Oryctolagus cuniculus: one gene and its partner. The protein of the gene in region 1 purifies or fractionates together with the protein of each later gene. This does not show direct contact. Links are inferred from orthologs where the notes say so. Each region holds a gene or a part of one and is shown on either strand. Other genes may lie near its edges.

What was found. The genes of interacting proteins can lie anywhere in the genome.
Region 2: the proteins of PTPN14 (region 1) and PDLIM7 purify together in Homo sapiens (affinity purification with mass spectrometry; 3 studies listed by BioGRID and IntAct, counting the BioPlex papers as one, with this or other methods). This does not show direct contact. The link is inferred for Oryctolagus cuniculus from reciprocal best matches to the Homo sapiens genes PTPN14 and PDLIM7.

Annotation. Positions count from the first base shown.
Region 1 is NC_091444.1:28,665,207-28,668,853, reverse strand, and holds part of PTPN14 (tyrosine-protein phosphatase non-receptor type 14), read left to right. Parts: intron 1-1,556; coding exon 1,557-1,700; intron 1,701-3,175; coding exon 3,176-3,394; intron 3,395-3,647. UniProt on the Homo sapiens protein: Protein tyrosine phosphatase which may play a role in the regulation of lymphangiogenesis, cell-cell adhesion, cell-matrix adhesion, cell migration, cell growth and also regulates TGF-beta gene expression, thereby modulating epithelial-mesenchymal transition.
Region 2 is NC_091437.1:63,489,636-63,493,777, forward strand, and holds the start of PDLIM7 (PDZ and LIM domain protein 7), read right to left. Parts: upstream 2,946-4,142; 5' UTR 2,792-2,945; intron 2,250-2,791; exon of another isoform or gene 1,982-2,249; intron 1,893-1,981; 5' UTR 1,882-1,892; coding exon 1,786-1,881; intron 1-1,785. UniProt on the Homo sapiens protein: May function as a scaffold on which the coordinated assembly of proteins can occur. May play a role as an adapter that, via its PDZ domain, localizes LIM-binding proteins to actin filaments of both skeletal muscle and nonmuscle tissues.

The sequences.
Region 1 (3,647 bases):
AGAAAGACCTTTGAGAGGCCCTTGGGACCCTTTTTCAGGAACAGTTGATCTCTCAAAACTTCGGAGAGGATTGATAACATTCCCAGCTAAATAAAAAGGGGTGATGAGAAAAAATCCTCTTGCAAAAAAAAAACAGACTAATAAGCTCACGAGGACTCACACATTTAAATCTAGACTCCTCCCCAAGCTGGTGCCTGAGATTGAGAAGCGGAGGCCATACTGAAGGGTGGGTGTTGCACCTTCTGGCTGAACGCCACCCAGGTACTCTTCCCTTCCCTGTGGTTCACTTCCTTCGGAGGTGAGCAGGTGGCATTGTGGTGACGCTGACACACATTCGAGATTATAGTGCAGTCCCCTGCACTCACCGAGCAATCTGCCCACCCTCTGGGCTCTGCTAGCACCTTGGCTCCATCAGGACACCTGGGGAATGCACTCACAGATGATAGAATCTAGAGAAAATGTCCCTGAAGGCTTGAAGAGAAATGATAAGATGACCCCTTCACTTGGGACAGTCACATGACTGCCATGGTCTGCTTCAGTTTGAATCAAAATCTTACACTCTGTAAAAACTAACATGCTTCTGTTCTTCCCTTAAACCAACTTATTTTAAGGAAATGCTCCTAATGAGCCTGAAATGAGTGCAGAGGGCTTGGTTCTCGGCTCAGTTTCTGCAGCAGTGCATGGCACATCCAGTGCCCCAGCTCATCCTGTTGAGTCCAGGTGTGGGTGGGGATGGAGTACCACAAGCCACTGCCAGACGAGAACGTGAAAACTCCTCCCTCAGTGGCCTGCTCAGCCCCCACATCCAGGTCACCCCCCATGGCCATGTCCAGGGTTATCCTCCTATAGTTCTTATGAGCCACTGAGTCTATTTCTTTGCATCTACTGGGTGAAGCAGGCAGGGTAATCCTGAATGGAACAGCTCAGATGACCCCAACCTGGCTCCAGTGTCTTTCTGGGGAAAACAGCCTTGGCTGCCTCAGGGTCCAGAGAGTACCTATGGGAGAGCATCCTGAGTTCCAGCTGCTGGGGTTGGAAACACAGGGAGACTTTGCTCTGCAGGGCGAGTCTGCAGCACACAGGAGATTTTACGCATTGGGTAACATTCCGTCTCCCGTCTGCAAAAGTCCACCATTGGGACTGGATTGATTGATTCATTTAACTGTTTCTCTTTTCTTTGTCCTGTCTTCTTTCAGCCCTTTTCTTATAAAATATAGTTCACATGATGTGTGTGTGTGTGTGTGTGTGTGTGTTCTCTCTCTAACCACACACACACACACACACACACACAACCATGGCAGGGTATTTCTGTAGAGACCTTCCAACTTTATTTATTTCCTAATGAGTGAATTAATTAGAAATAAAACCTCAGCAGTCCTGTAGGAACTGGCTTCCTCGGGCACCGTGGGAATAATGGGAAGGCTGGGTTTGAATTTTCCCACCTAATGGTGATTGCATTCCTTGGCTGGGGAGTTACAGATTTGGGGAGATTAAAATGCATTCCAACCTTCCGCTGGTATTCTAAACAATGAGGACATGCCTTTTCTTGCCGCAAGAATCTAGAAAAGCAGAAGAGAGCAGGCCTGGAAGTGCAGAAGAGGCCGCTGATGTTGGCCGCCTTGAATGGACTCTCGGTCGCTCGCGTCTCAGGTCGGGAAGAGAGCCGAGCTGATGGCACGCGCGTTCCCATGGACGAGCGGGTAAGTGTTGGGCCCCGCAGACATATGACTCATTGTCTGTGGGCTTAGAATCCCAAGGCCCCCTCCTTGCCTAAGCATGCCGGCCCTTAGGTTTGTCTGATAAATTTATTTTTGAATTTGAGTCCAGGGAGCTCTGGTCTGTGTCATTTTACATTGATCCTGTCTGAAATCTAATGTTTCTTTGTTCAAATCTTCCCACTTTCTCAAGCTGCCTAAAAAGACCAGCCCCATCACAGACTGTCTGGTATTGATTACGTCACTCAGTTTCTTTGGACCTGTTAATATTTTTGTAAAATGAGAAAGTTAAACAATTGCTGTGGCTCTCCATTTTTCTGATTTCTGTAAATGGTTACCACTTCCATTTCTTCAAAAGTGATTTTTTAGGGGGGCTGGTGCTGTGGTGCAGCAGGTTAGGCTGCCACCTACACTGCTGGCATCCTGTATGGGTGCCAGTTCAAGTCCCAGCTGCTCCCATTCTGATCCAGCTACCTGCTAATGTGCCTAGGCCAAGTGCTTGGACCCCTGCAGCCACATGGGAAACCAGGAAGAAGCTCCTGGCTTCTGGCTTCAGCTTGGCACAGCCCCAGCCTTTGCAGCCATTTGAGGAGTGAATCAGAGGATGGAAGATCTCTCCTTCTCTCCTCTCCATCTTCTCTCCATCTCTCCTTCTCTCTCTCTCTCTCTAACTCTGCCTTTCAAATAAAAAATAAAGTGATCATTTTATCTAAAACATTTATAGGATTCGTTTAATATGCCATCCTCCCATTTATATGGCTATAGAATGTGGCTGATTTATGATTGTTAGAATATATTGTGAGCACTTTGGTTTTGGAAAGCAAAAAGAGGGTGCATGGTAGAGTTTTTAGGGGTGAAGGGAGATGCTCCTTCAGTTCCTGTGATTGCTGTCAGAAGGCTAAGAGACAAGTGGTAGTAATTATTTCAGAAGATCACTTGTAACATCAGGACGTTAGAGTTCCACCAGTGTGCATCCAGTAGTAGAATGAAGGGACTTCAGTTAATACCACATTCTTGTATCTAGTAGTTTAGCCAGGGAGGGAAATAAAAAGAGGAGGGGATGTAATCCCCAGAGCTGTAGACTCTGGACCAGTACCGACATAACATTCAGCTCAGTGACAACACGCGACTGAGCGTGTAAGTAGAGAAAACGGTGTTTGGGTAATTAACAGTCTCCTTATCGTCAGGTCTTTACACAGAGGCATCAGCAGCAAAAATGCTGGCTTTGAATTTCCAGTCCTGCTGGTTGTCGATTTATTCTATTTTCCCTGTAAGTGAGACAGGAAATGACTGTCAGGCAACAGAAACCAGCAACATGGTTGATAATGAGACTGGGGATTTAGTCACATATTACCCTTCTTGAAGTCGCGTATCATCATTGTCACTGTAGACACGTGAAGAGAGCGGGTGGTTTGGAGTTTGGGATAATTTAGAGAGCCGAAGATTGATTTCTGTTGCAGTTCAGAACCCTGAAGAAGAAGCTGGAAGAGGGCATGGTGTTCACAGAATACGAGCAGATTCCAAAGAAGAAAGCGAACGGCGTGTTCAGCACGGCCACCCTGCCGGAGAACGCCGAGCGCAGCCGCATCCGCGAAGTCGTACCCTACGAGGAGAACCGCGTAGAGCTGATACCCACCAAAGAAAACAACACCGGTTACATTAATGCCTCCCATATCAAGGTAGGAAGCTTGTTCAGGGCCACGGGGTTAAAGGTAAGTGCAGGGAGAGACCTTGCAGGGGCGGGGCTGTGCCTCTTGGCTCTTCCAGGCCTGTCTGTAGTTGAGTGAGTGTGAGCTCCTCTGCCTTCCTTGGGCCTGGGAAGGGCCTGGTGATCTTGAAGAGAAGGAAGGCTAGCAGCCTCAGGGGAACCTCAGCGGGGCTGCTTCTGTGCTGTTCCAGGGGTTAGCCCTTCCTTGCTCACTGTGGGCTATA
Region 2 (4,142 bases), on another chromosome or scaffold:
TGAGTGGGAGTGGGGGGAGTGGAAGCAGAAGAGATGGGGAAGGCAGCTGGCAAAAAAAAAAAAAAAAAAAAGCAGGGAGCAGCTCAGGCCAGGGGCAGGGCAAGGCCAGAGAGACAAGGAGGAGAAAAGCCAGGGGGCTGGACACAGGAGAGGGGGGCGTGAGTCAGCCCAAGGGCTCCACTGGGCAGCCCAACCCCTCCCCCCACCAGTCTCAGACGTTACCTCATCTCCCAGGCCTGGGCCCACAGCCAGCCCTCGCCCCTCCCGCCTCCCTTCATTCTGGGGTCAGGAGAAGAGGAGGGGGCTGGCCCAACGCTGAAAAAGACCACTTCCATCCACCCACCACCAGGGCCTGGGTCCAACTCCAAGGCTGGGCTTAGCTGCTGGTCCCACCCCTGGGCTGGGGCGGCAGACAGGGGAGCCTGGGCCCACAGTGCCCCCCGCAGGCCACATCTGAAAGATCACTCTCATCAGCAAAGAGGTGAGGCGGAGACCAGTCCGACCAAGTCTCCCAGCCACATGGGGTGGCATTTTCCCAGGGAGGGGGATGCAGGGTAGGTTTCAGGGTGGAGTGTGTGTGTGTGTGTGTGTGTGTGTGTGTGTGTTAGGGACCTGCCTGCCCCAAAACTCTGCAGAAAGATACCGGGGGGCAGAACACTGCCTGCCCCGGCCACCAGGCCAAACCGCCACGAACAGACTCTGCCCTGGGCCTCTCTCAGACTGCCTGGTGCCTGGACAACACTCAGGCCCCTCAGGCTGGGCTTGCCCTGGGCTTCCTGCCAACAGCTGTCTGCCCACCAGGCGGCTGGGTGGGCCTCCCTGCACTGGCGGATGTAGGGGCAGGAAGTCCCCGCCCCCTCCTGACCCCCAGGCCAGAGAGAGAGAGAGAGAGAGGGACTGGCCCAAGTGCTGGCCTCACTGCTCTGGGCGGGTGGTTTCTTTTCTGGGTCCCAGGAGTCACAGCCTGGCCACCAGGGGAGGGGGCTCGGAGGTCCAGGCACAGGCCAGCCCTTTTCAGCTAGGTAGACTCCAGCCACTGTTGGCCATCCCAGCCTGGGGCTGCATTCTTGGGCTTATAAGGCAATCCCCCTGCCATGGGGAGGAGCCAGCCACCAGCTCCGCCCCACCAGGGCAGGCTCTCAGGAATTTGGGTCCCAGCCCTACAGCCTAGCCTCACCACACCTTCGCTCAGGGTCAAAGGCCACTACATCCTAAACCAGGACCAGTTGGATGGAGACACAGGTCCTCTCATTGACTTGGGGACCTGTAAAACCCGCAGGCTGTCCTTGCCCAGTTTCAAATCTCTGCTTTGCCGTGGACAAGCCCTCCACCATTCCAAGTTCCCTCCTTTGGACAAACAGGATGGCAGCTGCTATCCCCTAGGTGGCAGTGAGGCGGTGGTAAGATTCCACAGGGTGCTCTGCCTGGGGCCAGGCTCCCGAGCACTGTTCTCAAGTTTAGATCCTTGCTGAATTCATCAAGCTCCCTCCCACACCAATGGGCCTTCTCCCTTCTGCTCGGCCCCCAGAGGTGACCGCAGAGGCTCGGTGAAGTGGCATCAGGTACAGTGCACAGATATGGGAGTCTGGGGGCTCCACTCCCCTGTCTACCTAGGCAGGGGTCCTGGGAGTAGGCAGCCACCACTTTTCTGGACCTGGACAGACACCTCCTGGCCTGCTGACACCTGGGCCTCCTGCTTAGATTCCCCCTGGAGACCTGAGCAATCAAAGACAACCTTCCCACCCCACCGCCGCTATTCGGAGCCCCTCTCCCAACCAGGCTTACCCGGGAGATGGAGAGGGGCACATTGAAGTCCTTGCCCCCTTGCAGCCGGAAGCCCCACGGTGCTGGACCCTCTAGCAGTACTTTGAAGGAGTCCATGGTGTCGGCTCCTGAGAGGAGAAATGGGAAAGTGAGCGTCCCAGCTGCGGACGCTAGCCTTGAACAGGTGCCAAGCAGGCAAGACAGACACTGAGCGCACCCCAGGCCCGGGTGGGCACGTATCTGGCCAGGCTAGGCTGTGAGGCTGGCTGGCAGACCTCACTTCCAAAAAAAAAAAAAAAAACAGACAAGGGCAGCCCCCCGCCCAGGGCCTGGGAGGGTGAACCTTTCCCAGGCTTAAAGTTCTCGGTATCCACGGGTGGGACTAATTTGGCACGGCTTCCCCCCAAGCCAGCCTGGAGCCTCGGGCAGCGGGGTGAGTCAGGGGCCGGCTCTCGGCTCCCCCGCCCCCAGGTCCCGGCAGGCAGGCCGCGGCTGCAGCCTGCTCGGACTATATAAGGCGTGTAAGCTGATACTGCGCGGAGAGCAGTGGAGGGAGCCACGGGGGCTCCGCGCGAGGGGGAGGGGTACGGGCGCGAGGCGCCTGGAGCGCGTCCTGGCCATTCCAGGGCAGGTCGAGGCTTTTGGGAGCCGGGGCGGGACCCCTTGGGCGCTCTGAGCGGTTGGGGGCAGGAGTGGGACGAGTCTCCAGCGGAGAGCAGTGGGGACCCCAAAACGTGGCCAGGAAGGGGAGCTACGCTGGTGCCTCCCGCACAGGACTGTGCCCGCCCTGCCGTGACTCAGTTTCCCTCCAGCCCCCAGCCCAGGCACCATGCAGCGGCGCAGGCGCCAACCGGCCCCGCCACAAGCGGGCTTCGCCGCAGGAAGGCGGGGGCGGGGGCGGAGGCAGGGGCCGAACCCGCAGGAGCAGGCCCAGCGCCGGCCAAGACCCCCAGTGCGCTCCGTAGTCTTCAGAAGGCCCCCGGCCCCCGCCTGGTTCGGACCAAGAGCCCCGCGCGTCCGCCGGTACCTGCTCTGCCCCGCCGGGGCGCTGCTCCGCGGCGGGCTCCTAGGAGCCGCGCTGGAATCGGATCGGCAGACCGCGTTCTGGCCCCGCCCCCGCGGACACCGCCCGCTTTGAGCCTGTGGAAGGGGGCGGAGTGGGAGACCACGCCCTCCGCGTGTCCACACCCACAGGCGGTCGCTCTGCCGGGGGAGAGCCCCACCCAAGCTTTCCGCCTTGTCCAATCACGAAGCCCCGTCTGGCTCTGAGCACACGGCGCTGCCCGCCCCTTCTCCTTGAGCGGGGCAGGGCCTGGGCGGGGCCTGGCTGCGGGACGCCGCGTCGGGAGGACTTTGCTCCGCCCACGCCTCGCCCCGCCCCCTGCGCCTCCCGCCAGCAGGGGAGAGAGACCTTCGAAGCCAGGCCCCACTGGACGTTAGCCGTGTCCTCGGGAAAATGGGGCGCTAGTGCTCCCCAATTGGGGTTGCCAGAGGGTCGGTATGGGGGCGTCGGGGTGAGGAAGGATGAGAGGGACGAGGAGTGACCGTGCAGCTGCATTTGCCGTGGACAACCTGAGTGGACGAAGCTGGAGGGCGTCCTCGGCTCGGCCTCGCGCCGGTCTCCGGAGCTCGGAGCCCGGCCCCACGCGCAGCGCATGCACCGTGGTGAGCGCCCGGCGCCCACGCTCCTCCGCTTTACAGACATTCTCTCCTGAACCCACGCCCCTCCGCGGCCCCCAGTCCTAGAGGGGCACGCACTGGTCGCTGCGGCCCCGGTTGTTCCTGGTGACCTGTAGCAGTCTCCTAATGGGCCCCTGCTTTCACCCTGGTCCCCTCCGGGGCCTTCTCCAAGGACCAGCTCAACTGATACTGTTAAAGGGAACTCACACTCAGCTTTTAGCATTCCAGTAGGCTCAAAACTAAGCCTTAAGACTCATGTAACTTGGGGGCCACGCTGTGGCATAGCAGATAAAGCCGATATGGGCGCTGGTTCCAGACCTGGCTGCTCCACTTCCGATCCAGCTCTCTGCTATGGCCTGGGAAAGCAGTAGACAATAGCCCAAGTCCTTGGGCCCCTGCACCCACATGGGAGACCCAGAAGAAGCTCCTGGCTCCTGGCTCCTGGCTTCGGGTCGGCCCAGCTCTGGCCGTTGCAGTCATCTGGGGAGTGGACCAGCAGATGGAAGACCTCTCTCTCTCTCTTTCTCTCTGCCTCTCCTTCTCTCTGTGTGTAACTCTGACTTTCAAATAAATAAAGAAGACTCATATAACCGTAGTAAACAGGGCCCATTGCTCGCTCACTCTGCTCTAGCCAGGTGGCCTCCTCACTGTTCCTCCATGTGCCAAGGATGTTCTGGCCTCAGGGCCTTTACACGGAT